Linked DNA regions of Arabidopsis thaliana. The protein of the gene in region 1 interacts with the protein of each later gene in a pairwise test. Each region holds a gene or a part of one and is shown on either strand. Other genes may lie near its edges.

What was found.
Region 2: the proteins of AT1G52190 (region 1) and WNK3 interact in a protein complementation assay, tested with the Arabidopsis thaliana proteins (one large-scale study listed by BioGRID).
Region 3: the proteins of AT1G52190 (region 1) and AT2G30160 interact in a protein complementation assay, tested with the Arabidopsis thaliana proteins (one large-scale study listed by BioGRID).

Annotation. Positions count from the first base shown.
Region 1 is NC_003070.9:19,428,705-19,441,263, forward strand, and holds AT1G52190 (Major facilitator superfamily protein), read left to right. Parts: upstream 1-5,775; 5' UTR 5,776-5,966; coding exon 5,967-6,063; intron 6,064-6,155; coding exon 6,156-6,373; intron 6,374-8,102; coding exon 8,103-8,662; intron 8,663-9,020; coding exon 9,021-9,969; 3' UTR 9,970-10,327; downstream 10,328-12,559. Other genes in the region: AT1G52191 (Thioesterase superfamily protein), read right to left, coding at 10,663-10,851, 11,316-11,453, 11,816-11,897. UniProt on the Arabidopsis thaliana protein: Low-affinity nitrate transporter involved in xylem-to-phloem transfer for redistributing nitrate into developing leaves. Not involved in dipeptides transport.
Region 2 is NC_003074.8:17,866,694-17,877,269, reverse strand, and holds WNK3 (with no lysine (K) kinase 3), read left to right. Parts: upstream 1-1,739; 5' UTR 1,740-2,049; coding exon 2,050-2,118; intron 2,119-2,191; coding exon 2,192-2,229; exon of another isoform or gene 2,230-2,333; coding exon 2,334-2,561; intron 2,562-2,639; coding exon 2,640-2,863; intron 2,864-2,942; coding exon 2,943-3,100; intron 3,101-3,183; coding exon 3,184-3,349; intron 3,350-3,502; coding exon 3,503-3,631; intron 3,632-3,719; coding exon 3,720-4,258; 3' UTR 4,259-4,450; downstream 4,451-10,576. Other genes in the region: CYP71A26 (cytochrome P450, family 71, subfamily A, polypeptide 26), read right to left, coding at 1-699; BIR6 (Pentatricopeptide repeat (PPR) superfamily protein), read left to right, coding at 5,341-7,206; AT3G48240 (Octicosapeptide/Phox/Bem1p family protein), read right to left, coding at 9,263-9,648, 9,733-9,889. UniProt on the Arabidopsis thaliana protein: May regulate flowering time by modulating the photoperiod pathway.
Region 3 is NC_003071.7:12,872,736-12,882,518, forward strand, and holds AT2G30160 (Mitochondrial substrate carrier family protein), read left to right. Parts: upstream 1-5,063; 5' UTR 5,064-5,280; coding exon 5,281-6,069; intron 6,070-6,435; coding exon 6,436-6,642; 3' UTR 6,643-6,926; downstream 6,927-9,783. Other genes in the region: UGT87A2 (UDP-Glycosyltransferase superfamily protein), read left to right, coding at 85-956; AT2G30150 (UDP-Glycosyltransferase superfamily protein), read left to right, coding at 1,923-2,415, 2,510-3,387; PBCP (Protein phosphatase 2C family protein), read right to left, coding at 7,067-7,119, 7,213-7,261, 7,339-7,421, 7,492-7,615, 7,693-7,790, 7,874-7,953, 8,043-8,195, 8,286-8,365 and 2 more.

The DNA.
Region 1 (12,559 bases):
GTTCATGCTTAGTCCGATCACGAAGTCGGGTTCGAGTGACCATCATATTACCAAGATTTGAAGGCATGTCTGTAGAATATATGAAAACTACTTGTGAAGAACTAGCTGATTCAGGATGTGCGAAATCGGATACATCATACTGAGAAAACATGAGATGAAGAAGATGATCCATTGAGGTTGATCTTCGGAAAAAACAAGAAAAGAGAGAGGAGAGAAAGAACATTGAATGAAAGAAAAAAATCACCAAGAAAGAAAAAAGCAACTTGTTTTGTTTATTATGTCACCCAATTAAATTATGCCACGTCATCGCACCTTATACACCCAAAAACACCTAAAGCAAAGTGCGAACCTTGCTTAATATCACCATTCTGAATTAATTTTTGATCTTTTTTCTTTAGGTTTCTTCTAAAAAACTCACAAAGTGCTTCCAATAGACCTGCTCTTAGTATCTTTTAAAATATTTGCTACAGTGAATATGTTATATAATAGTGTTTTGAAATATTACATATTAAGAATTTAAATTTGTACAAAAATTTTATATTGAAGTATTTTGTCAAAAAGTTTTCATATAAATTTATACTTTTTATGATCATAGATGGATACAAACACATTGGGCAAGCATACAATTTTTCACTTGATACACTTACACGCATAAAATTCAATTGTTTTCTTGGAATTCATCCTCATCTTTTACTTTTAACACGAAAATACTTACATAATCTTTTTTAATACAACCATTGATGCATACCTAAAGAGAACTGTAACTAATTAAAAAAAAAATTGTAACTAATTTTGATGAAAGAATGGAAGGGATCTAGCTTTCCGATCATAAGTTTTACATCTATTACGATTTTGTTATCAATACACTAACATATAGTCGTTTTCGATGATGAAACTTTTTATAAAATGATATGGACCCACATATATAATATTACTTCTGAACTTCTAGTTGATGTAAAATTAAACGATTATTTTAAATATCTTTTACTCTCTACTTGGACCACCATTTAAAAAAGGGTTAATAGAGTGATGGGTAGTGGCCAGTGGGGATGAATTACCCTGCTAACTCATGTATAAAAAAAAATATTATACACTTATTTCTCTGAAACTTTCTTTATAAATAATTTTCATTTTGAAATTTAATAGAAATTTCATTTTTATTAATATAAACTTGATTTTTCATAAATATAAATTCTCTTATTAAGCCTTTATATTCTTGATATATCTTATTTGACTGTAACTCTAGAAACCAAACTAAGAGTCCATTTGGTTTTAAAAATACATTAGAACATTTTCTATGTTTTATTTAATTAAAATGGAAGTATCAAAATTATACATTCATTTCAATTACATTGAGTAATTTTTTTTTGTTTCCATCCTTTTTAGTTAATCGATTTTTACTATGAAGACTCGTTTTTTTTTTTTTTGATTCGTTTCTTTCGGATTCTGGATTACAATAGCATTCTATTTGAATAGTTACTGTCTCAAATCAAAATTTAAGAACTAATAAAAGAAAAATCAAATCTATAGATTGATATGTGCTAAATCGTGATAACTAAAAATTAAGACTTTATTAGTAAAAAGAGAATATATACCCTTAAACCATGTAATTAATTATACAATGTTTCACTAACTGCTACGTGCGAAATTAGGTTCCATTGATGTATATATATGAACAAGTGGAAAAACGGTATATTTCTCTACGAGAAGTATCACATCACGCCAAATAGAGCCTAAACTTCAACTCCGGTCTACATATCCATAAAATAAATGTTTTCAACCTATTTGTCCCCGAAACGTAAGTTGTACAGCTAAATCTCCCCGAATTAATACTTCGAGATCTATTAACCCATATATCTGGGTTTTAACGGTTTAATGTACAGCAATTCAGTTTTAACCATCTTAAAACAAACTTTAACCAAAACTAAACCAAAATTATCAAAAATTAACCCGAACCGGCCGACCCATTAACGATACGACTTCTTCTTCACATGGAAATCTTCTTCACCCATTAACTTTTGCCTCATGAAATCAATGATCGATCTTGGACGACGGTGGGAACGACGAAGTTTTCATGGAGCAACATGAGATTTTGTTGGTTTTTCAACAGATTTGTTATGAGATTATGGGTTTGTGTTTCTTTAGCTATGAAATTATTATTATGAGATTATGGGTTTTCAAATCTGAAATGCTTGATAGAACAAGAAGAAATTTCAAAGCTTCTCCACTATGCATCCAACGACAACTGTTCCGATTAATTGGTTAGCAAACGTAGTTATAGGGGCAGCCAAGCTTTCGTCTGAGAATCTTAGAGTTAGATTGTATGGGTAATTGGTATTCAAAGAAATAGGAAAAAATATAGCACTATTAATCTATTATATATATATATATATATCTTTATCATCGGAATTGAAGTGAATGACATTACAATTTGCAAAACATCACATAGATTGGAATCTAGCAGCTTTCATAATTGGTATTAGAAAAGACGCTCATGAATTTGAATCATTTAAGATATCTCATAGAGTTTCTAGGTTATTGGCTAATAGAAATCTTAATCATTAGTGGTTTAATCACAAAAAGAAAGTGGAATTCCAATTTTGAAAAAACCCAGAACGTGAAATAGGGTGAAGAAGAGAAGGAGAGGAAAGAAGGAGAAAGAGATTGGGTTTAGGTTTAATCAGGTTAACAAGTACTAACAAATATCTACTTATTGTTATTATATATTTAAACAGTTGGAATCGTGAAAAATAAAATAAAAATTGTGCATAATAGAATTAGAAACATTCTAAACATTAATTCTAAAATGATAATTTTTATACACAAATTATGTTTTTGTGTATTGAAATATTTGAATATCTATTATCCATCAACCATGAATTAATTAGAAAAATACAGTATACAATTACGTCGTTATGCTATTTTGAAAGTAACCAATTGGTCACTTAGAATCATAGAATGTATCACCACCACACAAAGACGCATGAGCACAAAAGCGGAAGAAGACATAAGCTCATTATTGTGAGTAGAAGGAGAAAGTGTCAAGTGATTGAAGTATTGAACATATATTAAAAAAAAATAAGAGAAAATTCTTTTTTAAAAAATGTTTGCAGAAGAGTGGGTGAAAATTTGAGTCAGAACTTAGAAGAAATGAGACCGACAAAAATCTAATTTTTTGAGTAAAACAATGAAGGAAATATGAGTCTGATGAACTCTGACACAACTTTTGTTTATTATTTGGTTGCAATGAAATAAATTGGGGTTAACGTGCAATTCAAGCAATCTCTCAGTGATAATGTATTCAACTATTCATATACTACAGTCTTCTCCACGAACTATCCACAAACATTACCATATATATAATATAATATATACACCCACCCACACATATGGACTTCTGCTCCCCCATTAAAAAAGTATCTAATCAAGTTTTCAGTTTTATATCAGTTTTTAGTTTGGACAAACAAGATTTTATAGATAGGTTACATCCATTGAAAGAGGAGTTGATTACACAAGATAATAACAAAGCCATAACAATTTTATATCGTTTTGGGTTGGGAAATAATCTATAAAAAAAACCAAATAGAAAAGCTGTTACAGTTTTGCTTAAGTTGGGCTTCTTAACAAACAAAATCTATAATATGAAAGTTTTTTTAAAGATCAGTTTATGTTTAGCTTCTTTCGGTTTATAGATGTAGATATTTTCTAGCATAAACATTAGACTAATGTGAGCTATGCCTATGAGTTTCTCGTAATTATTCGCAATTCTTTTTTTATCATCCCTTTATTAGTCTCTATATCTTCATTTCTTTCTTTCTTTCTTTTTTTTTCTCTTCATTTCACATTATATGAAGATGTTTTCTAACATAAAAACTTAAAATTACATAATCCGAATTAGATTGCTACGAGCTATGCATTTTCTTGTGATATTTCACAATTCTTTTTAGTAAAAATGTCTCATTCAGTGCTAAATCACCTCTAGGTTTTTTCCTCTTTTTTTGAATACCAATTCACCTATACGTTAGTTGTCATAAATACGTCTTTTCTAACGTTGGAGACTAATTGGAGTAGTTAAATTAAATGACTCGAACTACTACTACTATAGAGAATACTAGTTACTTAGGTATAATAACATATTATATATTTCTATCGAACTGAAAATAATTGAATAAGTTATAGTATATCCAAAAGAAAAATAGCTTTCAGAGTATCCGACACCCACGTGCAAGGGGAATGAATAAAGTCATAATAAATATTTTTCTCTTTAAGACTCCCACATTCATTCGCATCATTATCACTTTTTTTTATTCACCATTTTTTCAATGAATTGCATTATTGTATATTTACTTGAATACTTCCACACATTAGTTTACTAGGTTATGTTATAATATAACAAACACATACAGTTAATCGACAATGTGTAAGGATAAATTATTGAGCTAAATTTATTCATCAATGTATGAGTTTTTTCTGTCAGACTGTTTAATAAGATTGACTTATGATATGAATAAATGACTGATGGGTCGAAACCAGAATAAAAAGCTATTTTAATTATGATTGCACTAACTTTAACGTGTCCTTTATTTCTATAAAAGATAAAGAATAAATAATCAAGAAAAAAGTCCTTAACAGAAAAAAAAAAAAAAAGAGAAAAAGAAGTGAGAGACAGCGAAGAAAAGAAAAGCTGGTAACCTCATGGGATGTTTTGGCTTTGCTCAATTATTTCGAACTTTTGATATGATTTTGTTCCATTCCTTTTCATTAATCGGATGTGAAAGCTATCTACTTCGTTTATTGTATAAAGTGATGAAGAATTCTTACAATCTGAATGTGAAAAGTAAACAGTTCTTTGGCTATCAGGATTTGGAGCAGCGTTTAATGCGGCATGGAAACGGTGAACATCCGTGATCACTTTAAAAAAAACTATGGCATACACAAAACTTCTGTTTTAAAAATAAGCGTATAATTGGCAATGACAGAATTTAGCAAAAAATGATGATGATACAAATTAATGGTGATTGTGTGACGAAATTTGACAAATTAGTTAAGAGAATAAATGATAACAAAGATGACCGAACTAAAGATTTAGTTAATTAAAGATAACTCAAAATTATTGAATAACATGCATGCGATTTCTCTGGTTCACATATTCTTGAATAAGATTACAAAAAAAAAAAAAACTAATAGAACAAATGGATAATTAATTATCTGACGATTTAACAAGAACTATATTAATAAAGGTTATCAAAAGAATAATGTTTTGACTCGTAAAATTAAACTAGTCATATGTGAGCTATTTTGAAATATTCAAAGATTTACCTAGAATAAGAATTTATTGAGAATTATTTCACAAACTTAAGTTGTGATATTGGTTTGTTCGTCGCGTTTTTTGTTTCAACCAAATTTCACCCATTTAACCTGATTAAACTATTATATACTATAAATGTGAATTTTCTTATATTTTGGTTAACAAATTATATTATATTATATGGGTTAAAACTTGTGTAATAACGTAGCGATACCACTAACATAAAACAAAATATTAATTTTAGCTAGTGTAACAACAGTTTCAATAATATTTTCCCTTTGATGTAACTAAGCATATAATTTTAGCAACTATAACAACAGAAAATTCTATCCGAATAGCAAAAAGAATTATTGAAGTTGATGTCATTAATGTTAACACAGTCTAAATTAAAAATTATTTTCATAATTTATTATTTTTTCACTTAATGTTTTTTCCTCTTGTCCCCTATAGGCGTTAGTTACTAGTATTAATTGTCCACTCGTCGCGGAAATGTAACACACATTCCTCGCTCTCTCTCTCTCTCAAATCACTTGCAAAGACAAAGATCTTCCACTTCCTCTTCTTCTTCCTCTTCCTTTTTGCCTTTCTCTGTCTCCCTCTAGAGTCTCTTCTATATAAATATCACTAGATTTAGTGTTTGATCAAATCACATTCAACAATGGAGAACCCTCCCAATGAAACCGAGGCTAAGCAAATCCAAACCAATGAAGGCAAAAAAACAAAGGGTGGAATCATCACTATGCCTTTTATCATAGGTATAACTACATTTTCTTAAAATCTCCAATTCCATTTATTTTCTTGTAAAAATTCTTTAATTAATAATATTTGTTAATTTATTATGGTGAAGCTAACGAGGCGTTTGAGAAAGTGGCGAGTTATGGATTACTACCAAACATGATTATGTACTTAATCAGAGATTATAGATTTGGAGTAGCAAAAGGAACAAATGTGCTTTTCATGTGGTCTGCTGCATCAAATTTCACTCCTCTCTTGGGTGCTTTTCTCTCTGATTCCTATCTTGGTCGCTTCCTCACCATCTCCATTGCTTCTCTCTCCAGTTTCTTGGTAAATAATCTTCATCCTCTCTTCTCTGATTCTCCATTTACCAAACTGGTTTAACTTAACCAGTCGGTTTTTTGACACTTCTTTGATGATTATTTTTTTTGGAATTGAAATTTTGGGTTTATTTATCCGGTTTGGTGTGTGAAATACTTCTAAACCTGATGTGAAATTTTTGGTTTAGCTAGCTTTCATTAGTGTGAAATTCCACTACTTGTCATTTGACTGATAAGAATCCGTTACTGATTTCGAAAAACGGACAACTTCCTTTGAAAAAGTTCTTACCATGTATATACTTTTTCCGTTATATGATAGTATTTTATTACTGATAAGAGAAAAAGATATACTATTATCTTATATGAAAAGAATTTAATATTTTTACAACATCTAAAAATGAATTAATTGAAGGATGGTGGTACGAGGTTTTTTTCAGGTTATATTTTTATAAGAAAATTTCGAAAGTAATAATGGACCGGATTTTTTCATTTCCAACATATTCATCGTTACCATTGAATAGGTAGTTCTTTATTAATATTATATAATTTTCAGTTAGAAATATCTATTATATACTAGTATACAGTAATAATATATTGTACATTTTTAGCAATTTCACACTTTCTATGTGACTTGTGAGACATTTAGGACTCAACCTATGGAAAACATAGTTGCATTATTGGTTTCTTATGTTTGTGTTACACTAAATGTCATTTTTCAGATTAATTTCATAGCGTGCCAGTTCCATGTGTTCTGAATTTTCTACTAAAAAAACAAATAATTGCTAATTTAAAATGTCCTTGGCAAGTGGTGTGAGTGACCACAAATCGAAACCATAATTTCAGATGTGACAATATTCCATTTATAAGTATACTGCACTTCTAAAAATTGTGATTGCTTTGATTCATAAATAGTAACTTCAAATACTATATATAGACAGAGTTATAAAATTATATACAAGATATGTTTTATTTGTGACTTGTGTGTATACGCATGCATATAGGTTCAGTTTTTGGTCCGGTTAACATTCACTTCAGTTTTTCATAGAATTCCTTTGTCAGCAAGAATGATCAAGAACTTACCTGTGTTTATTTTTAATTTTGATTTACTTTCTTTTAACGAATTGTTTGAATAAACAACACCAAAACAGTTTTTATTCGAACCCAAATTTTTGTTACGATTTTTCTCGATTGAAATCTATGTAAACCGGATTGGACACAATTCTATTTCACAACGCATGACGTCTTTGAATTATTTTCGTTATGGGGCCAAGCTCGATTTTGTTTATAGGCTATATAGTATGTAGACGACACAGAGATAGGTGATAGGCTTAAGCAATTATTTTTGAACCGTGTCCATACTTTTTACAACTTGTCCGATTCTTGGGCGAAGTCGATAATGCAAATCAAATGTTTCAATTTCGTTACATGGATTGATTTGACATGTTGGTACAATTATTCATCTCAATCAAACAAAATTTAGTATAATTTTGGTAGGGTTAGTGACATATGACTTTACATTCGACCTACCAACGTGTGCTCATGTTCACGAGTTTGTTGCCGATATGAATAATGGATTTTTCTTCTTGGAAGTTTTTCTGTAATTAAGGATATAGAAACGTAGCATGTAATGTTTGTTAGTGTAACGACATGTAATGTTTTTTTAGCTTCCAGCTCAAATTAAATAGTGATTTATAGACCAAAGTAAATTAATTAATGATCATTGTTGATTCATACCACAGGGAATGGTGCTTTTATGGCTAACTGCAATGTTACCACAAGTGAAGCCATCGCCTTGCGATCCCACAGCAGCCGGAAGCCACTGTGGGTCTTCGACCGCATCTCAGCTGGCTCTTTTGTATTCCGCATTTGCCCTTATATCGATCGGGTCAGGCGGGATCAGACCATGTTCCTTAGCATTTGGAGCTGATCAACTAGACAACAAAGAGAACCCAAAAAATGAAAGAGTTCTCGAGAGTTTCTTTGGTTGGTACTACGCTTCCTCAGCTGTGGCGGTTCTCATCGCGTTCACGGGTATTGTATACATTCAGGAGCATCTCGGGTGGAAAATCGGGTTTGGAGTACCTGCGGTCCTCATGTTGATCGCTGCTTTGCTATTCATTCTTGCGTCTCCTCTCTATGTTACACGTGGTGTGACCAAGAGTCTCTTCACCGGTTTAGCTCAAGCGATTGTTGCAGCTTACAAGAAGAGGAAGCTAAGTCTACCAGATCATCATGACTCCTTTGATTGTTATTATCACATGAAAGATTCTGAAATCAAAGCTCCAAGTCAAAAGTTGAGGTAAAACTACTATATATACATGTACTTCTTAAGTCTCCTGAGTTTTGATTACTTTACAAGCAAGAAAGACCATACGCTCTTGATTAGGTTTATTGAAGAAAGCTTGCTATACAAGAAACATGATCAATGCATTTTTCTCACTTTTGATATTTACTATCATAGGTTTTGAAAAATTCTTGGTACAAGAGAAATATAATGCTCTCTCTTTACTTGGATAATATATCTTGATCAGGTTTTTTGAACAAACCCTGTGATATTGTCCTGTTTATATTTTGATTCTCTCTTGATTAAGTTCTTAAACGAGCTTTGTTAATTGTTATACAAGAGACATGATAGATTTTAATTTTCTCTTGGTTAGGTTTTTGAATAAAGCTTGTTTAATAAGTAACCGTGAGGAGGAGATTGGGTCAGATGGGTTTGCTTTGAATCCATGGAGGCTATGTACAACAGACAAAGTAGAGGAGCTTAAGGCATTGATCAAAGTCATACCCATATGGTCCACAGGTATAATGATGTCCATAAACACTAGCCAAAGTTCGTTTCAGTTACTGCAAGCGACTTCCATGGACAGGCGTCTGAGCCGCCATGGTTCAAGCTTTCAAGTTCCAGCTGGATCATTCGGTATGTTCACAATCATAGCTCTAGCCCTATGGGTCATTCTATATGACCGTGCGGTTATCCCATTAGCTTCCAAGATCCGAGGCAGACCTTTTAGACTTAGCGTTAAGCTAAGAATGGGATTAGGATTATTCATGTCATTCTTAGCAATGGCAATTTCCGCAATGGTTGAAAGCTTCAGAAGGAAAAAAGCTATAAGCCAAGGATATGCAAACAATTCAAATGCTGTGGTAGACATCTCAGCAATGTGGCTTGTGCCACAATATGTTCTACATGGTTTAGCAGAGGCTCTTACCGCAATAGGACAGACTGAGTTTTTCTACACCGAGTTTCCTAAAAGTATGTCTAGCATCGCGGCTTCTCTCTTCGGTTTAGGAATGGCTGTGGCTAGTCTATTGGCAAGCGTGGTCCTCAATGCGGTCAATGAACTAACTTCTAGAAATGGTAAAGAGAGTTGGGTTTCAGACAACATTAACAAGGGTCACTACAACTATTACTATTGGGTACTCGCGATAATGAGCTTCATCAATGTGATCTACTACGTGATATGTAGCTGGTCGTATGGTCCTTTGGTCGACCAGGTAAGGAATGGTAGGGTTAATGGTGTGAGAGAGGAAGAGGAGTTGATTGACATTGTTGGCAAAGGATTCGAGAAGGAAGATCTAAGTCCAGTTGTTAAAACCAATTAAGGAACAATAGGTCTTGCAAGCTTGTATTTTGTTTATAAAGGGAGCGATAAACTATAGGAAATGATATTTTATTGCATTGGTGTGTGGTGTTATTAAGTGTTAATTAAAGTCTATATAGATTTGTAATTAGATTGAATTATGTGTTTGGGTTTTCATTAGGGTTTTTGATGAAAAGGTAATGGTTTTTGGTTGTATACAAGCCAAAGTGTTTGTTGTATTTTTTTTTTTCGTGTTATTGCAATTCAAGGAGTCTTGTGTATATATTTTGGTTATCTTCTTTGTATATCAGACGAAGTCTAAAAAATGAAAAAACATGAATTTTTGTTTCTTTCTTATTTTGGAAGTTATTGTAATTAAAAATGTAAGCGTACCTATTTAATTCATTAGATCACAACATCTTATAAATAGCAAATTTTTATACCATACAATAAAACGGACTACTAAAATCCATGATAATCTTCACCCCTTACCAAAAAAAAACAAAATCCATGGCAATTCATAGTCATACCACTTGCATTGCTTCACCATGACACCATATCTAGAATTAGTAACGTAACATATATCATCGACACTAAAATTTGGTTTGATGATAAAGCCATTTATATGATAAGAGTCATAAGACTGATCGACATCCAAATTACATTATCTTACATACCACTTTGCATGCTTAGGACATGCTTCATGAGAGATACATTAAAGCTTGCTAACTTGATCAACACCATTGTGTTTGACATTTAGGCTAAATGGTGTCTTCAACAGGCTCATCCATAGTCTACCTGTGGCAATGAGTTCTTCTTCGTATTCTCTTCGAATCTCAATTATTGCTGAGTTTAGGTTCTCTGATCTCTTCCCTACCACTCTTGCTTCTATCTTTATTTCTTCCTAGATTTATTCACCACATTAAAATATATATACTGGGTGGAAAACGGTGCATGTTTCTATCAAATTAGATATATATACAGTATGTCCATAATAGTTCAATCAACACAAAGCAACGAAAATCAAACTTTTTTTATCCCATATATAAGAGTAAACAACTGTTCATCGAAAAAGTAGAAATAAAACGAGTTTTTTTTTGTCGTAAAAAACCTCAAGTAAGTAATTGATCAATATATATATATATATATATATATTTCTTTTTCTAACATTTTTAAACTAAATGATATTTTGTTTAAAAATTAAATCCGTAACCAAGCCGGACTGACAGACTCTATCAAACCTAACCAAAAGAAAATCAGTTATAATTTATCAAAATAATATTTTGTGAGTTTCCTTATACGTTATGAAAATGCTAGTATAATTTTAAAACTATCTGATCAAATATTAGCATAATTAAGAGGTCGAACTTGAATCTTGGCTGTCGAGTATAACGAATAGTTGAGATCAACTGAGGTATGGGATCCTCCAGCCGAGTAGATCGCGATGGCTCCCATCAACTCCATCAGAACCCCAATCGCTGCAGTGTGTAAGGTCCCGTCTTCATTCTGAATATAACCGTATAATACAATTATGGCATTCGTCAATACTATGACCAAAAACAATGTTTTGTCATCAAAGATACTTTATTACATAAATTTTTTATTTATTTTAAAATACCGTATCATGTAATAAACTGATACTAGAACATATTGCTTAAATGTCCTCGGATATTGTTTTGTTCTCCCTAGCTTATAAGAGTAATAATGCACATTGAAAAGAAAAAACATTAAAAAGGGTAGAATAAATTTACCACCAAAAGCAATTAAAACATTAAAATCATATGAAGGAAAAACATAAACACCAGCAAATGAAAAGAACACAGAAAACAAAACAAAAAACTAACAGAAAAAGGGTAGAATAAATTTACCAAAACATGATGCGTTACTGTCAATTTACACCGTACGATCCCTCTTCCAACATGGATGACTTGAAGGCCTTCGAGGATGAAACTTGGAAAGTGAGAATGGCTTTAATTAAGGCTGAAAATATATATAGAATCGAAAATATATCTTACATTCAGTTGATATTGTTATCCAACAAAACAGAAGATTCAGTTAATATATCATATAAAATTATGAATTCTAAATTTTTTGGAACATATATCAATTCTAAAAGTCGTAGAACATATAAAATGTATAGAATATATAATCTAAAATTTGTAGAAGTTATTCGAAATATATAAAAAAACTTATTCTAAACTTTGCATATGGAATCTCAACAATCTAAAAGCTATTTATTTTCGATATAATCACAAAATTTATTCTTTAAATTTTCTTCATATATCAAAGTGTTTTTTCAAAAAATCTCTCTTAAAACTGGTTTAAATTTTGTTTTAATACTAATAAGTGACAATTTAGTTTTTAAAAAAAATGTATAGAAACAATTCCAATTTTAAACATCTTTTATTTTCCAATTTTCCCAAAAATATATATATATATATATATATATATATATATATATATATATTTCCCTGAAAATCTATCTTAGATTTAGTTATTAATCATTGAATCCGCTATTAACGCACTAGCTTTTGGCCCTTTTTCTCAAGTATGGTAAGAAAAAAGAAGCTTGGTCCTTATTCGACGAGGTTTTGTATAGCGAGGAAATGAAA
Region 2 (10,576 bases), on another chromosome or scaffold:
CTTTTCTAGTTGACAGTCTAAACCGCGGATCCAATCAATCCACGCAAGCCAAGGTACATAACTCCCCACACTAAACGTCCCCAATAGTTTATTTAGTCTCTCCATTAACTCCTTAAAATCCGTTTCACCACCGTATTTCCGTCCCAAAGCAACTTTACATATCACATCGTTAGTTAAACTCACCAAGATCTTGCTTAGATTTACCGGCAAAGAAATCGATTTCCTGATCTTTTCCATCATCAGACTGATCTCTTCTTCTCTCACTTCTCGAAAGGATCGTACCATTTTGTTGCTGAATAGATGGAGGACGCACACACTTTTCATTTGCCTCCAGTACTCTCCATAAGGAGCTGAGGCCACATCATGCTTATCGTAAAGAAGTTTCTCGAAGATTTTTGACCGTGGCCGGCTTGCGAAAACACGGTCATGCGTCTTCAAAACGTCTCTAGCCAATTCAGCTGAAGATACTACAAGAACGGGGACACGGCCAAAGTGAAGAAGCATAAGAGGACCGTACCGGTGGCTGAGAGAGCATAGTGATCGGTGAGGGTGGCGGCCGAGTTGATGAAGGTTTCCGATCAACGGTAGTCCCGGTGGTGACGGAAGTGTGTTTCTTTTCTTCCCTCTCTTCTGTTTTCTGAAAATTATGATGGTAACTACAAAGATTATTGAGCATAACAGAAAGAACATGATCATCATGTCTGGATTCTTCAAGTACATCAAAACGTGTTCTTGTGAAGAGTTTTTATTTGTGGTTTTTTTGGACTTACATATACAAGCCAAGTTTCTTCACGGTAGTACTAGTACGTAATTACTGTCCACTCAATCTTTTGGACTTATGTATTTATGCATGCACCAGTCTTTTAATGTTTAGTTCTTCGAGATTTTTCCTTGTGAAAGTCATTTGGTGCGTTTACGATTTATGTCTTATTTTGGTCGTGTCACCGTTCTAGTCTTTCGGTGCTTCCACGATGTGTCTTACCACCATACAATACAAGTGCCTAGGATAATGGTCTCAGGCTGCCGTCAGCTCTAAGGATTTATATACTCTGGGCCCAATGGGCCTTACAAAAATTTGATGATCATTGTATATAATCGGTTTTTAAACGGCTGAACCGCCAATTCATACTCATCAAAAATACAACGACAACATTGTTCAACAAACAATTCTCCATGAAAATTTAAATGTCCTAATTCGTCTCAAACATTCTGTCTCCAATATGTAAAACATTTATATTTTGAGATATAAGTAGAAGTAATAGATTATAACAAATGATCATAACATTAGTGTAGTGATTTGTGTCAGTACAAGTTTCTATTTAAAGTGTAACAACATTGAATATTTATGTTTCACCAAAAACTATGACTATTATTCTATTAATCCTGAGAGAGAGAGCAAAACCCTTTAGTGAAAAGTTTCCTTAAGTTTAAAAGAACTGAAGCTGAAGTCCAAATTGTTGTTTACACACAGTAAAATCGAATTCGTTACCATGACAAGCGGGTTCAATGGCTAAACATTTTGTAATTTACCAAACCCATTATTCGATTTGTAGGATAGTCAATTATAGGGTTCTTAGTCAGCTAAAACAGTGACTTAAGAGTTAAGAAGGGGAAAAAAAAAGTCCGAATATTTTATATTCACAACACCATGAAGTTGACTGAATAAGCAAAATAATTGATTAGAGTAACATGACAATAAATGAGAAGAAAATCAAATAAAAAACCAGATCCATGGCGCGAAAAAAGCAACGACCCACACCTTTGCCACGTGGTCTTGTCCAGTGGATCTGAGTGTCCTAAATTCGAAGATGAGAAAGAGAGAGAGTGTACAACATTCTACAGTCGACACCATTATGATCAGCAGCTGGAAAAGCTTAAGCTTGGTTTTAATGGCACAAAATCTAAATAATCGATTTATACACAAAAAGACAGCTAAGTAATGATTATTATTATTATCAGAAACTGCTTCAAAACTTGTTCTTCCTTGACTAAATTTCTCTCTTCTCTCAAGAACTCCTATCATCTGTTTTGAATTGCAAGTAACCAAGAATGCGACAAGACGAGAATAACTCCGAGGAAGAATTCGTTGAGATTGATCCCACTGGTCGCTATGGCCGGGTCTGTTCTTCTTTACTTGATTTTAGTGTTACCTTTTTCTCAATTCTAATGTTTTTGTTTCTCATGTTTTCAGTATAAAGAAGTTCTAGGCAAAGGAGCTTTCAAAGAAGTGTATCCTTTTTCTTAGATCTCTGTTATTACTACAGAGACAAATCAGATTAGATTCGGACAAGACACAGTCACTAAAGGGTTTCTTTGATCAGAGAGTTCTTCAGATACAGAGCATTTGACCAACTTGAAGGAATCGAAGTGGCTTGGAACCAAGTTAAGTTAGATGATAAATTCTGTAGCTCAGAGGATTTAGATCGTCTTTACTCTGAAGTTCACTTACTCAAAACCCTTAAACACAAAAGCATCATCAAATTCTACACTTCTTGGATCGATCACCAACACATGACTATCAATCTCATCACCGAAGTCTTCACTTCCGGAAATCTTAGACAGTCAGATTCCTCTCTCAGAAGTCAAATCAAATCTTTTTTATTTGATCAATATTATTCATGTTTGACAAACCCTTATAGGTACCGGAAGAAACATAAGTGTGTTGATCTAAGAGCATTGAAGAAATGGTCAAGGCAGATCTTAGAAGGGCTTGTTTATCTACATAGCCATGATCCTCCTGTGATCCATAGAGATCTTAAATGTGATAACATTTTCATTAATGGGAACCAAGGTGAGGTCAAAATTGGAGATCTAGGGCTAGCCGCGATTCTGCACCGCGCTCGCTCTGCTCATAGCGTCATCGGTGAGATCTTTAATCTTGTTCTCAAACGAAAAAGTTTCTCCATTGTGAAACTATAATTTTGTGTTTGAAATTGTTTAAGGAACTCCTGAATTTATGGCGCCGGAACTCTATGAAGAGGACTATAATGTACTTGTCGATATCTACGCGTTTGGAATGTGTTTGCTTGAGCTGGTAACTTTTGAATACCCGTATTCCGAATGCACAAATGCTGCTCAGATTTATAGGAAAGTTACATCGGTAAGTGATCATATTCCCATCTCATATCCAATCAAGAATGACTTTTTCCATATTGTCGATCCATTTTTCTCAATGCTTCTTAGGGAATCAAACCAGCCGCTCTTTTAAATGTGACTGATCCGCAAGTGAGAGCATTCATAGAGAAGTGTATCGCAAAGGTCTCGCAACGCTTGTCAGCCAAGGAACTACTTGATGATCCTTTTCTGAAATGCTACAAGGAAAATACCGAAAACGTCAGCTCTCACAAAGGTAATATCAGATTATGGTATTTCATTTCATCTCAATATGAAGTGTCATGGACTCCTTTCTTAAAAGTTAAAATCAATAATAGTAACATAAGATAGTTTCTATATTTTTTCTATGTGAAATTTTCTAACACCAAGTTCAATAACATTGTCACAGAAAATGGTTACAACGGAAACGGAATCGTGGATAAACTCTCGGATTCTGAGGTAGGCTTATTAACCGTAGAAGGCCAACGTAAAGACCTCAACACAATCTTCCTAAAACTACGTATCACCGATTCCAAAGGTTCAAAATCTTTTTTGCTTTTTTTATTACAAATCTTCAGATCATTACTAAATCTTCTTTTGACACAATAATAACATTTTTTATACAGGTCAAATCCGCAATATCCACTTCCCATTTAACATAGAGACAGACACATCTTTCTCAGTCGCCATCGAAATGGTCGAAGAACTAGACTTAACCGATGATCAAGACATCTCAACGATAGCTAAAATGATCGACACAGAGATACATTCACACATCCCCGATTGGACCCCTTCTCGACTTATCGGTGATGATTCAGCGGTACAAAAATGTTTGTCTTCTCCAGAGACGCTCCATTTAGATAGATTTCCTTCAGGGAGAAAATTCTGGTCCTCTCCTAAAGCTGGAGCTGGAGACTCACGTTCACCGTTTGCGCCACGGTCTAATTCTAAGTTGTCGTCAGCACAAGGACCGATCAATCAAGAAGTTGGGGTTATAGTAGAGAAACTTGAGTCTTTGTTGAGGAAACAGAGAGAGGAGATTGAAGAGATGCAGAGAGATCAAGAACGTATTGTTACTGAGTTCTTAAAAGAGTTTCCTCCTGAGATTTGTGAAGAGGCTTTGGTGAGATTGCAAGTTAAAGATTCTGATAACTTATTGTGTTAGTACGTTTTTTACATTACACACTCTCGTCAAGATTAATTTGGTTTGCAATATTATGTTGTACTAAAGGTAAGTAAATGTGTAACAAAATTGTGACAGTTATGATTGAAGGAAAACTATTTGTCAAATAATATTTCTTGAATTAGTTAGGTGAAGACGTAACTAGCTCAGAAGAGTCTGGGAGAAGAAAAGAACGCGGTGATGATAGGTCACATCACTGTGTTCTTATTCACTTGATTCTTCTGAGCTAGCCTCGTCCTCTTCACCCAACTCTTATGAACCTTACTCGTCTTCACTGGACTCACTTGCAGAGACTCTAATAAGGTTGTCTTATGATCTATGCTCGCCTCTCATAATCTTAGAAGAAGATATAGAGCGGTTCATATTTTGTTCTCTCTCGCCTATTAGGTTTAATGGGTACTGGTGTTTCTTAAATAGCGTATGCCTCAAGATAATATATTAGGGTTTCATAGATAATAAACCTAATCACCAAAACATTTGGCATAAATGGGCTAAAAGCCCAAAATTTCATAAAACTACCTTAAAACATCTTTATAGGAAAGAAAGCGTTTCAGGGAGTAAGCAAATATAAGCATATGGCAGCGTCAAGGACTCAAGGGATCCAATCAAAACTACAAAGAGCAAATAAATAATCAAAACAAAAACTGAAATAAACTAAATTCTCATACTTGTTCAGGAATTGGTTTCTGATCCGTCGAAGCATGCACTCCCTTGCTCTGCCATGAAGAAAACATTTTTCCGATCAATTCTAGGGCACCGAGAAAAGCCCTCAATTTTCATAAGAACTAAAATCGAAAAGTAATTTAAGTTAAATTGTTCTTGTTGGTAAGCGATTCCGGGACTGGACCCAAATATCTGGCATAAATGGGCTTAAAAGCCCAAGCCAGAATAAACCAACTTGAAAATATCATATCACAGCATTAAAACGCAGCGTTTCAGGAGTTAAACCCCTAAATTTTCAGGAAAATTGCATTTTTGCTTAAACCCTATTATTGTCACTTTCTCTTCCTCTCCCTCTTCCTTATTCGAAAACACACAAAATCACAGTAGTAGCATCTGTAGCCATGTACAGATCAATGGCAATCCTGTCTTCTCTTCGACACGCGTACTCACAGATCTCTACTCGATCGTATCTAAGCCGATCTAAGGTGGGTTTTTCCTCAAACTTGTCTTCGCCTCTCGATTCATTTGCAATCGTCCCTAGTCGATTTCTTTGGAAATTTCGAACCTTTTCTTCGAAACCAGATTCTATGCTTCAATTAGTGCTTGAGAATGATTGGTCTAAGGAAGTAGAGGAAGGATTGAGGAAACCTGATATGTCTTTGACACACGAGACTGCAATTTACGTTCTGAGGAAATTGGAGAAGTATCCTGAAAAAGCTTATTACTTTCTCGATTGGGTTTTGAGAGATTCAGGGCTTAGTCCAAGTACTCCACTCTATAGCATTATGTTGAGGATTTTAGTGCAGCAGAGATCAATGAAACGGTTTTGGATGACTCTGAGGGAGATGAAACAAGGAGGGTTTTATTTAGACGAGGATACTTATAAGACTATTTATGGTGAGCTTAGTAAGGAGAAATCGAAAGCTGATGCTGTGGCTGTGGCTCATTTTTATGAGAGAATGCTTAAGGAGAACGCAATGTCTGTTGTTGCTGGAGAGGTTTCTGCTGTTGTTACTAAGGGGGATTGGAGTTGTGAGGTTGAGAGGGAATTGCAGGAGATGAAGCTCGTTTTGTCGGATAATTTTGTGATTAGGGTGTTGAAAGAACTAAGGGAACATCCTTTGAAAGCTTTGGCGTTTTTCCATTGGGTTGGTGGTGGTGGTAGTTCTTCTGGTTATCAACACAGTACTGTTACTTATAACGCAGCTTTGAGGGTTTTGGCTAGGCCTAACTCGGTTGCAGAGTTTTGGAGTGTTGTTGATGAAATGAAGACTGCAGGGTATGATATGGATCTTGACACTTATATAAAGGTTTCAAGGCAGTTTCAGAAATCTAGAATGATGGCTGAGACAGTTAAGCTTTATGAATATATGATGGATGGTCCGTTCAAACCATCTATTCAAGATTGTAGTCTTTTGTTGAGGTATTTATCGGGTAGTCCCAATCCAGATTTGGATTTGGTGTTTCGGGTTTCGAGGAAATATGAATCAACAGGGAAGTCTCTCTCAAAAGCTGTTTATGATGGAATCCACAGGTCTTTAACCAGTGTAGGTAGGTTTGACGAAGCTGAGGAAATCACCAAGGCTATGAGAAATGCGGGTTATGAGCCGGATAACATCACATACAGCCAACTCGTGTTTGGTCTTTGTAAAGCTAAGAGATTAGAAGAAGCACGAGGAGTCCTTGATCAAATGGAAGCACAAGGATGCTTTCCCGACATAAAAACTTGGACTATACTGATCCAAGGGCACTGCAAAAACAATGAATTGGATAAGGCCTTGGCGTGTTTTGCGAATATGCTAGAGAAAGGGTTTGATATTGACTCTAATCTGCTTGATGTCTTGATAGATGGGTTTGTTATCCACAACAAATTCGAGGGGGCAAGCATATTCCTTATGGAGATGGTGAAAAATGCCAATGTAAAGCCTTGGCAAAGCACGTACAAACTTCTTATAGACAAGCTGCTAAAGATCAAGAAGAGTGAAGAAGCACTAGATCTTCTTCAGATGATGAAGAAGCAAAATTACCCTGCGTATGCAGAAGCTTTTGATGGATACCTTGCAAAGTTTGGGACTTTGGAAGACGCTAAGAAGTTCTTGGATGTGCTTAGCTCAAAGGATTCTCCTTCCTTTGCAGCCTACTTTCATGTCATTGAAGCTTTCTATCGAGAAGGAAGACTCACTGATGCGAAAAATCTTCTCTTCATATGTCCCCATCACTTTAAAACTCACCCTAAAATCTCCGAACTCTTTGGTGCTGCAGCTTGAGGTATTATGTCACCCAATTGTTCCGCAGAGACATGTTCATCCCATTCAGCTACAAGAATACAACCAAGAGGTCATCTACTGTTTGGAAGTCTTTCCATTCAACCTCTCTGGAATAAAACTCTACTCTCTTTGCGAATAATGTCCATTCCTCTGTTCTACGTGCTGCAGGGTAGTAAGATGATTTTGTAGGCTTTGTTGATGGAACTGAAAGATGTTGTAGGATTGTTCATAAACAGTTTGCATTTATTTATTCATTTTGCAATTGTTGAGCTTCTCTGTCTCTTTCTTGTTTTCTTCAACTCAGTATTGAATGGATATCATTATTTTCATCAGAGAATGCAATTATGGATTGAGGTCTTGATCATGTCCTGGTAGAATCTTTCTCTTTGCTTTCATCTTTATTGAGGATCATTGTTGGAAGTATTAGACGACATGAAAAGTCAGAAAACTCTTATCCGAATATTAACCTCCAGACCTGTCTGCTTTGGCCATGTGAGGTTTGTTCCAGAAGTCTGTTAAGCTTACGTGTTCCTTCTTCACACATGCGGCTGTCTCTGATTGAAGTAGCTGAATGAAGAGAGAGCTCACAAAGAGACATCATACTATAAAATGTCACTTCAATCAATGTATTTAATTATCAGCCAAGTGTTTTGGTCTCTAGACTTTTTTTTCTTGTTGCTTTTGATACATCAACTTCTCTTTGTTTCTTATACCATACGTTGCAAAGACAAGTCATGAAAATTGTACAACGGTTTTTGAAACAATTAAGGTCTTAGTTTCTACCTAAAAAAACATTAAGGTCTTAATAATGTTCGTTAGTGTTTTATCATTATATGGACGGATCAGGTTTACACTTTGAAAATAGGGTTTTGATTTGAACCAATCTTCATCAAACCGAGCCGGATCGAAACTGGTTAAGCCCTATGACAGCATTTTACCGTAAACTAACAAAACAGAGATGGATATTCTGGATGAAAAAGCAATTCAGGATTAAGAAAAAGATGCAAAGGAATAAACTTTTGACATGGAAACTGTCTATTGATGCTTAGGTTTTTCGGTCACGTATCTAATCTTGTGTGTTATAGTGATAGTGATGCTGACATTTAACCATTCACCAAAGTTAGAGAAGTGTCCACTTGCCCTACATTTTCTATTTTTCCAAATTTTTACTTGTAAAGGTTAGAAGATCGATTGGCTCAGTGACACAGTGACATGATTAAGACATTTGCTTCAATTAGATCCAACGATGTCGAGTAAATCAAATTTGTTGAGAAATGGTCAAATCAAATTTTAACATATTGTTAACAAAATAAAATTTTGATTAATTCTTCTTCAGAAAACAGTCTCCCTCAGTGTTTATGCATTCATATTGTTAAGATCTTAATTGCGTTCTTACGATCTTTGGTCACTTGACAATCTATCAAAAAAAAAAAAATTTATTTTTTTTTGTCTATGAGTGTGGGATTTAATAATTAATAGTTTTTGGGATCTATATATAATTCCCTGTTTTTTTTTGTTCTTTTTCTTGGGAAAATAAAAACTTAGTTGGATATATGTCATCCTGACTAGACCCATAAAATAAGACAAAATAAAATAAAATAATGTACAATATAAATCTATATAATATACAAACAAAAACAAAATGAAAGTTTAGCAAAATACAAAAACAATGAATGGAGAGCAAAACCTCTGCTGAGGAAACAAAATAAGAAACTCTAACAGAGGTACACGTGTGAGGATACACATCCACTGATCCCCACAATACACACGTGTACTCGCATCTGACTACGACACGTTTCACGTCTGGAACAGTCGCAACATACCACGTATTGAATAAAACTGACGTCGTACGTTGCCCACATATCTTAACGGCAAAGTTAACGGTTAATAACCGCCGGGAAAATATTCCGTCAACTTCTCCGTTTGTTCACCGACCACAAAATTTCACTAATTTTCATAATTCCTTCTCTTCACATACAACAACACATCATAAAACCCTAGATTTCATTTTTTCACATTTATTTTTTCTAAGCCATTTTTATTTCTCCGTCTGACGTTATTGCCAGATAAGCTTGGAGTCTCTGTTTGGAACACGGCAGTTACAGCAACGAGAGTATTCTCCAGTTCTCATACGGAATCTACTGAGAAGATTCTCCGTCGGCGGAGCCACACAATACCGAGGCGGAGATGGAGAAGCCACGACGGAGAACGGCGATTTCGGCGATAGATCTCCACCGCCGCCGCTAGATCGTGGTGACATCTGCTTAGGAGGCGACAAAATCGCACGGATCTTGCCTCCGTAAACACGATCATATTCTTCAACGATATTCACCAGATCTTCGTCCGATTTGACGGAGATTAGTGTCTCGAGATCTCCATTTGGTAATTGACACTTCAATTCAACGGAGTATCCACAAAATTCCTCCAACTTCATCGTCAATTCTGAAGGAGAAGTAGAAAAATCAATTTCGATGAATTGGAAAAGTTAGATGAAATTGGAATGGGGGGAAAAAGATTGAAACGGACCTGTGAAAGAGATAGAGTGATGAACGGAGAGTACTCTGGTGAAACCGCCGACGTAACGGAGCTTTCCATCGATAGAACGAGGGAGGATTCTTCCGCCGTAACTGCAGAGGAACTTGAGACTGTTCTTCGTTTTCTGATTCTCAGCTACGGCCACCATTGTTAGAAGCTTCTAGGTTTCAAAATTTTCTGTGTCTTTTTTGCCTTTTGGTTTCTTTTTCTCTTAAACCGAGAATTCTGGGGGACGAGTGGAACTTATTTATAGGTAGGAAATGACGTCATTGTTGGACAGGGAAATGAAAATATTCGTTCCTTTGTTGGACATCACAAGGCTGTTTTGGACAATTTTGTTATTAATAACCCAATACTCTTTTAATTCTCCTCGCATTACGCAAAGAAATCGAGTTTTGTGTATTTTTGAAGTTAAGTGGCTCATATTTATTGGCTGTAATTAATTATGTATTAATGTCGTCGATTCATTGATACACTTTCTCGAAACCAAATCTTTTCATGTAAATTTAGTCCCGGCTCAAACAATCGAGAAGCCTTACGGCAACTTACAAAAAGGAGTTTTTTCAAGCATGCTAAAACAAAAACCATTTCATATAATCATGTTTTAAGTTCTATATCTTCATTTATCAATACCACATTACTTTAAATTGCTTCATATCTTATGCATCCTCTTCTATTGGATCTAAAACAACAAAATAAAACACAATAGTTAATTTGAAATAAAGAAACGCTTTTGACGAACTCTAGTCAACGCAAAGTCATGAATGACAGTGTCAAAGTCTATGCTTTCTAACTAACTGATATAAGATCCAAGTAGATGACCACACGATACTCT
Region 3 (9,783 bases), on another chromosome or scaffold:
TATATATTGATTCTTGTTGAAACTTAATTAGTATTGATTCTTGAAAAGTTAGTATTGATTCTTGGTTTGTTTTGGAATCTAAAGAAGAAGAGGTTGTTGATTACGTCCCCGGTTTATCTCCGACGAAACTCCGAGATTTGCCGCCGATATTTGACGGTTACAGCGACCGAGTCTTCAAGACAGCTAAGTTGTGTTTCGATGAACTACCAGGAGCTAGGTCTTTACTCTTCACCACCGCCTATGAGCTTGAACACAAAGCTATTGACGCTTTCACCTCCAAGCTCGATATCCCGGTCTACGCTATTGGTCCTTTAATACCTTTTGAAGAACTTTCTGTTCAAAATGATAACAAGGAACCTAATTACATCCAGTGGCTTGAGGAACAACCGGAAGGCTCTGTTCTTTACATATCTCAGGGAAGTTTTCTTTCGGTCTCGGAAGCTCAGATGGAGGAAATAGTGAAAGGACTGAGAGAAAGTGGAGTCCGGTTTCTTTGGGTGGCTCGTGGGGGCGAGTTAAAGCTTAAGGAGGCTCTTGAAGGTAGCTTAGGTGTAGTGGTGAGCTGGTGTGATCAGCTTCGGGTGCTGTGTCACAAAGCTGTAGGCGGGTTTTGGACTCATTGCGGGTTTAACTCGACATTGGAAGGGATATATTCAGGAGTACCAATGCTAGCGTTTCCGTTGTTTTGGGATCAGATTCTGAACGCTAAGATGATTGTTGAGGACTGGAGAGTCGGAATGAGGATCGAGAGGACGAAAAAGAATGAGTTGTTGATAGGGAGAGAGGAGATCAAGGAAGTAGTGAAGAGGTTTATGGATAGAGAGAGTGAAGAAGGGAAAGAGATGAGAAGAAGGGCTTGTGACCTTAGTGAAATCAGTCGAGGAGCTGTTGCGAAAAGCGGTTCGTCTAATGTAAACATCGATGAGTTCGTTCGGCATATTACCAATACAAATTAAGGCTCAAAGAGGTTTTATTGTTTCAATACAATGTAAGGCTCAATGGCATGCTCACTAAATCATATGTATCTTTTGAATGACTAAAAAGTAAAAACCACCACCAAATTATAGCTAAATCAATTTCTTACCATATGTCAAAAATTTATAGAAATTCTAATGGTGGGAAAGCTCCCCGCTTATGCATTATGCATCATCATTTTGCTTGCTTATAATCTAAAATGATGCTTTCTCATTAATCAAACCCCAAGACGTCACAAAATACCCAAAACACATCAAAAATACAAGGAAAAGAAAAAGAGAACAAAATTGAAGCAAAACTTAAAACGGGATTTATTATGAGGCCTATCTCTACAATTCACGAAATGATCATACATCTTATTTTTTTGGTAGGTGAGAATAGACAATTGTCTCTCGCAATTTATTAAACTGCAACTAAAAAGAATATTACAACCGAACATGACCTGAGAACTCTGCCTCTAACATAATCGAGTGGACTACATTAGGAGAAGAGTCCAATGAATGAAATTAAACCTAACAGCACTGAAGAAAACACATTGTTATCAAAAAATTTACAACTATGTAGATTTTTTTTGTCAACTAGATTGTTATTCTGTTAGTTATAAACAGAATGATAACAATCTCCCTAATTTGTCTTAATTAAAAAAAAAAAAAAAATTAGCCATGTGTTGTTTTCTTAAACAGTCTGTTTCTTGGGATTAGGTTTTGTTTCTTTAAAAAGCACACCGGTCACTTGAGTGTCTAAAAACGTTATAAAAAACAACAAATGTGATAATCAGCAAAAACAGCTTGAAAGAGAAGTAGACACAATCATTAACATTATGGGTAATGGCCTAAACAATTGGACCACGTTTGTTGTAAAAGCTATCCTCTGCACTCTGCAGCTTTCTCAGTCCTCACTTCTCTCACCCACAAAGTCACAGTAACCAGAAACACGTTCCACATCCTATGAATCCAATCAAACCTCAGCCACTCGGAGTCCGCCACGTGGTGGCCATGCCTTGGCCAGGAAGAGGCCACATCAACCCAATGTTAAACCTCTGCAAAAGCCTCGTCCGGCGAGACCCAAACCTCACCGTCACATTCGTCGTCACCGAAGAATGGCTCGGGTTCATCGGGTCCGACCCGAAACCTAACCGGATCCATTTCGCCACTCTCCCCAACATCATTCCCTCCGAGCTCGTCCGAGCCAACGACTTCATCGCCTTCATCGACGCCGTCCTCACCAGATTAGAAGAGCCGTTCGAACAGCTACTTGACCGTCTAAACTCTCCTCCCACCGCAATCATCGCCGATACTTACATCATTTGGGCAGTACGTGTAGGCACAAAAAGGAATATTCCGGTGGCTTCTTTCTGGACTACGTCAGCCACGATTCTCTCCCTCTTCATTAACTCCGATCTTCTCGCAAGTCACGGCCATTTTCCGATCGAACCATCAGGTAGTTACAAAGTTCCCATTTTTACTGATCAAAACCGTAAAGTTCAATACTTTCATCCATAATTAGTGATTTCTGAATCCGGGTTTGTTTCCAGAATCAAAACTAGACGAGATTGTTGATTACATCCCCGGTTTATCTCCGACAAGACTCAGTGACTTACAGATCTTACACGGCTATAGTCATCAAGTCTTCAATATATTCAAAAAGTCTTTCGGTGAGCTTTATAAAGCTAAGTATCTTCTCTTCCCTTCTGCTTATGAGCTCGAACCAAAAGCCATTGACTTTTTCACTTCCAAGTTTGATTTCCCGGTTTACTCCACTGGTCCGTTAATACCCTTGGAAGAACTATCCGTTGGAAATGAGAATAGAGAACTTGATTACTTTAAGTGGCTTGATGAGCAACCTGAAAGCTCTGTTCTTTACATATCTCAAGGGAGTTTTCTTTCAGTCTCCGAAGCTCAGATGGAGGAGATTGTTGTAGGAGTTAGAGAGGCTGGAGTTAAGTTCTTTTGGGTGGCTCGTGGGGGTGAGTTAAAGCTTAAGGAGGCTCTTGAAGGTAGCTTGGGTGTTGTGGTGAGCTGGTGTGATCAGCTACGTGTTTTGTGTCATGCGGCTATAGGCGGGTTTTGGACGCATTGCGGGTATAACTCGACATTGGAAGGGATATGTTCGGGAGTACCGTTGCTTACATTTCCTGTTTTTTGGGATCAGTTTCTGAATGCTAAGATGATTGTTGAGGAGTGGAGAGTTGGAATGGGGATCGAGAGGAAGAAGCAGATGGAGTTGTTGATAGTGAGTGATGAGATCAAGGAATTGGTAAAAAGGTTTATGGATGGAGAGAGTGAAGAAGGGAAAGAGATGAGAAGAAGGACTTGTGATCTCAGTGAGATATGTCGTGGAGCGGTTGCGAAAGGTGGTTCTTCTGATGCTAACATCGATGCTTTCATTAAAGATATTACTAAGATCGTGTGAGTTCTATTGTTGTTAATGATTCAAGTCTATATTAGTATTTGTATAAGTTTGTTAAAGATTCAAACTTTGTAGAGATTTAAGATTGTTTGTAAAACTGTTATTTATAAGTTCATTTGTTAGACTCTTTGGTAGAGCTTAATCTCGTGTGTGCCTAATTTTTGTTTGACTTTGGAAATGAATTGTGAGGAGACAAATATAGAAAATAATTTATGAAATGAATTGATTTTGGTAAAGCTTACTGGCTGATTGGTTACACTATAGCTGTAGATTATTTGCTGTAGAATATTGGATGTAAGTGTAAGCTGTAGCTGTAGATTTGTAAAGATTTTATTCAGTTTGTTAGAGAAAATACTCCAATTCTGCATAAAATTCTAAAATCTGATCTTAATAGGAATGATTTTCACACATCTCATGTTTTATCTACCAATATTTTAACATATTTTGCAGTAAATTTAATATTTTACTTGATATCTAATGCTTTAGGACAATTTTTTTTTTACTTTATTTTTGATTTGAGTTCTTCGTTTTTAAGAATTATCGGTTTATAAATAACTAGATTCTGACCCGCACGTATACGTGCGGGGTTTCATATTTTTAAAAATGTATTGGAATATATTTTTAGTGAAAGATATTATAGTGTATAAATTATAATATGCATAAAAAGTGTAAAGTGTTATTTATGATAAAATAGCTATTTTTTGTAATTTATATTATTTATATTTTATTTGTATTTTGCATAGTAAATAGATTGTTAGATTTGTTTCGATTTGTAGAATAATATAGAGATATTTAGAAAATTTGTGTATTTTTGTTAGTTTGATGTATATATAAATTGATTGTTTTTGTTTGAAATTTGATCAATTAGATGATATAATGTAAAATTTTCTCCGTGGTACACCTTTGGTCGATTTTTTTGTAACTAAAAATTCAAATTTTAAGATATAGTTATTTTGTAAATATTGTTTATTTTGTTTAATGTTTAAGAATATATAATTATGTTATAATTATTAATTCTAAAATTTCACTCGTAGATTATCGTCCTTTATTAATATCAACTCAAACTCATCCCACCATATAATTTCATTCCGTAAAATGAAAAATTATTTTGTTATTTTAAATATTGTTATTGTAATATAATAAAAAAATCGAGGGATTGACATGTGGTACATCTTGGATTAATATATTTAAAAATAATTTGTATATTTAAAAATCGAGGGATTGGGTAATTATGAATATATTGATTTTAAAGTCGATTTTTTAAAAGAACAAAATCCAAGATATTTATTTTGTTGTAGTGATTGTTAATTTACTAAACTACCCATGCAAAAATTCATTTACTTAATTTTAAACTACCCTTACAATGTTGTAGTTCATACAATACTTCTCAATTAATAATATAGATAACACTTATTAGTTTTCAAGGGATAAATTTTTTTCCACTTGTGTACATTTAAATTCTACCAAAGTTTTAAAAATTTACGATGACAAAAAAATAATATTCGTATTCATAATATAAACATAATCTAATAAGTTTTTTTGGTTAGGTTCATATCGCTTAAATTAAAGTACGATTTAAAAAAAAAAAAAAAGTAAAAAAGTACGTTTTTGTTTTGGTAAAAAACACTAAAGAGGCAAAAACGTAAAAAGGCAAAAAATATATTTTTACTTGGGGAAAAAGATGTTAAAGCCCACAAGACAAGGCAGAGGTTTCTCCCATGCTTTGTCTTTAGTTTAACCGCCGCATCCTCTCTCTCTGGTCGGAGAAATCTCCAGATTTGGTCATTTCTCCAATCTTCTCGGAACCCTAATTTAACCAAACCTCTCCTCCTTCAGATTCATCTTCCTCCTAATCTCCCTAAAAGCTCAAACCTTTCTCTCAATCAATTCTAAACAATGGCAACAGAAGCAACAACCAAATTCCCAGAATCCGATCTCCGTCCAATCCCACAACCACCGGATTTTCATCCAGCAATCATCGTTCCAGCTCAAAACACAACTCTTAAATTCTGGCAACTAATGGTCGCCGGTTCAATCGCTGGCTCAGTCGAACACATGGCTATGTTTCCAGTAGATACAGTCAAAACCCATATGCAAGCTCTTCGTTCATGTCCGATTAAACCAATCGGAATCCGTCAAGCTTTCCGTTCAATTATCAAAACCGATGGACCTTCTGCTTTATATAGAGGTATTTGGGCTATGGGACTTGGTGCTGGACCAGCTCACGCTGTTTATTTCTCATTCTATGAAGTCTCTAAGAAGTTTTTATCCGGTGGAAACCCTAATAACTCTGCTGCACACGCTATTTCCGGTGTTTTCGCTACTATATCTAGTGATGCTGTGTTTACTCCAATGGATATGGTTAAGCAAAGGTTGCAAATTGGGAATGGAACTTATAAAGGAGTTTGGGATTGTATCAAGAGAGTAACGCGTGAGGAAGGGTTTGGTGCTTTTTACGCTTCGTATAGAACTACTGTGTTGATGAATGCTCCGTTTACCGCTGTGCATTTCACTACTTATGAGGCGGTTAAGAGAGGTTTGAGGGAGATGTTGCCTGAGCATGCTGTTGGAGCAGAGGATGAGGAAGGTTGGTTGATTTATGCTACTGCTGGAGCTGCGGCTGGTGGGTTAGCGGCTGCTGTAACTACTCCGCTTGATGTTGTTAAGACGCAGTTGCAATGTCAGGTGATTGAAATATCTCTAAAGCTACTGACTTTTAAGTATCTGATAGCTAATGTGGTTATAGATTGGCCAAGCTACTTTAAGTAGTTGTCTCTTGATCCTATAGATCACTTGAATGAAGAAAGATATCTTCTTTCTTCTCTTTGGATATTTTGTGATTTCACGAGTATGATTTTATAGGTAACATGTAGATTGCATCAAGCATTGTTAGAACTATGGTCATAAAACTTAATATTACTGAATTTACATGTGAAAGTCGCATAGATAATGTTTCTATATTTGTGGTTTAGAATACTTGGTCAATAGCTATTTCATAGGATTTGGGTTGTTTTGTTTGTTCTGAGAAGTTTGTTTGTGGTGATGTTTCAGGGTGTGTGTGGTTGTGACCGTTTCAAGAGCAGTTCAATAAGCGATGTGTTCCGTACAATAGTGAAGAAAGACGGTTATAGAGGACTTGCTAGAGGATGGCTACCAAGAATGCTCTTCCATGCTCCAGCAGCTGCGATTTGCTGGTCCACTTATGAAACAGTCAAATCTTTCTTTCAAGATCTCAATGGTGAAGCAAACGCAGCTTGAAAAGACACAAACATACATGCGTTTGGCATAATTTACTTGCCTGATTCAGGTCATTGATTCTTCATAGAGCTAGCTACTGGTTGGTTAGTATTAACACTAGCTCTTAGAGAAGATCTCTGTTTGTATAATTTATTTGTTTTCTTCACGCAATAATGTTATCAGATTAGAGTTACAACAACCCCAAGGCCTTTTTTCTGGTTTGCATTGATAGAGAAATTTTGTACTTTTATTTGTTTTAATGAGAAAGATACTATAAAGAGATAGATGAGCTTAAAGAGTGTCCATTCACAAGGTCAATGATAAAGATTCGATTCTTATTGTTTGAACTTTGAAATACCATTTATCAATTTCTGTGAAGAACAAGTTTCTTACAAGGACTTGTACAAAAAGAATAAAGAGAAGATCTTATCATGAACAGAGTGATTCATGAGCTAACAACTTTGGCAACGATCACAGTGACATCATCAAGCTTCCCTCCTGCAATTTTCAGAACCAGAGATCTCAACTAAGAAACTACTCTTGTTTAGTATAATATGTCAGGATAATGCATCAACATTGTTGTTTATTTACCTGTAAGCTTCTTTCCTAGTACCTTCTTCCAGAGAGGAACATCAAACCCCTGCACATATACGTTGATTCAGATATACTTTGCGTGAACTGGTAAAATTCATTCTTAGATCAAGTTAAAAATCTTACCTTGGCTCTTGCTTCTAATGCATATGGAGACTCAAACTCTGTATCTCTTGAATGGCTACTCGCCACTTCAGCTAATAACCTTGCTGTAATGGTTATACCAAAAAACATGTAACTTACTAAAAATCAAGAGAGATGGTATATACATATACATACATGACTCTGCAACATCTGTATGCTTGGTCACTATAGAAACGATCTCATGATCAAACACATTATCGAAAAGTCCGTCTGAACCCATCACGATCACGTCTCCCTTCTGTACTTCCACTATGCTAAACTGCTTGAAATGCAAAAAAAATGATACAAAGGTACAATACTAGCACAAATCATGAAGAGTGGTAAGGATTTATTTACCGATGCATCTAGATAAGTTTGAGCAGACCCCTCAGAGCTTAGTTGGTAAGGACAGTCAAAATAGTGCTCTTGTGGAGCAGTGGCAAAAATAATCTGACCTGAAAATGAGAATGAAAGAAGAAGATCTTTGTCAAAGGCTGAACATGAAAACAATCTAGCATCTTAGGTTACAGTGTAGTACCTTCCCGAAGAAGCTTAAGTCCACAGTCACCAACATTGCCTATTTTGAGAATACCCACTTCCTCAAGCATAGCTAGAATACTGCTTTCATCAATAACCGGGACATCAAGCTATCCAAAAAGGGAACAAAAACCAATCTTTGAAGAGAATAACAATCAAATCTCACTCACATTGTGGCAGAACCTCTAGAAGTAGTTGCGGTATGAGCTTTGTCAATGAGAAAACCAGGATCATATCTGACCTCTTGGTCATCAACTAAACGAGAAGCGTTAGCCATAAGTTCTTTAGAGAACAAGGAAGGATCAACATCTTGTTCAGCCCAACTGAGACAGAAAAAAATATAAACTTTATCAACATTAAGATAAACCCACAAAGAAACTCAAAAGTTAGCATAACCAAAAGCTAAAGCTTACCCGGAGACACCATCTGCAACAGCCATGACTCCACCTCTATAACTACTTACAAAGAAAGCATCTTCACCACCTTTCTCTACCTATATAATTTCGACACTAGATGTCGATTTTAATTGCATAAATATTCTCTAAGCAAATCCAAATTCATTACATCCAAAGAAGAAAAACAGAGACTTTGGTCTGGTGTTACCTTATCTGGATGAGGGATTGCGTGAATTCCGACAGATAAAGAGAGTTCAGGCCTAAAGGAAAATGCAAACATATTTTGACAAATGAGTTCTCAGTTTCGAACAACGTAAACTCGAAATAGTACAAGAGAGAGCAGAGACCGAAGTGGTTGGATTTCTGATGGAGCACAGCGACAGAGGAAGTCAACGCGACTAGGGTTTGGATGTGAGAGACGAAGCGATGGTATTGCGTGAGGAACCATCATTCTCGTCACTGGAATCGCCATTTCCTGCAATGGCTTGCTCTCTCGTTCTCTTTCAATCCTGTGGTGGTGCGTACTTTGTGTGTGAAGGTTGTTTAATTTTAGAGATAATTATTAACTAGAAGAGATAGAATCAATAAGCACCAGTGGTCTAGTGGTAGAATAGTACCCTGCCACGGTACAGACCCGGGTTCGATTCCCGGCTGGTGCACTAAGCTATGATGATATTGGCTTAAGCATTGGGTGGGTCCTTTGCATTTTTCTGAATTATCAGTTGAGATATGCCACACCTCTGAGCTCTTTTTTTTTTCCCTTATGTAAACTAAATTTTTCAAGTAACATTTTTTGTATTATCACTCAATTTCTCTTACTATATTCCATACTATTTCTGTTCTTGAAATAAAGCATCTCGGCCAAAAAAAGGTAAAACCAACGTTTCTAATTAATTTTCTTACATCCAAATCACTCGATCATTTATGTGACATACTCAAAGAAAGATAAGTTTTTTCGCATCCAAAAAATTGATATTGTCAATAATATTCAATAAATGATCCATGAATTTGGATGAAAATCTTCAACTCTTATAAAAACTCTTAACACTTCAAATAGGTCTCTTAAGGAAATTTACTCTAATTCTTTTAATTAACAATTGTTTCTATATTTTGTTTTATAGCTTTTTTATTATTTAATTATTGAAAGTCCTTGTTTTAATTGTAAGAACTCATGAGTTTGTCCATTTAAAATACCACAAAGCTCAACACGTAACTCATATTCTTATAATTATATTATTTAGAATAAACTAAATGTAACTCATAAAAAACCATGGTCTACCAACTTATTGGGTATAGAACTAGTTTCAGTGGAGAGTGTCCGAGTCAAAATGAGAATCCCAAAAGAAGAATGCTACAAAGTAAGTTGTTTAAAATATAACATGAACCCAACTTCCACCGGTTAGTAACGTTCATGTTTGTCACTGTCCATTTTATGAACTTCTCATTGGAACTGTAACTATATTCCTGAAAGTCATAAGAGAAAGATCAAGTACTTAATTTACAATAGATGATACAA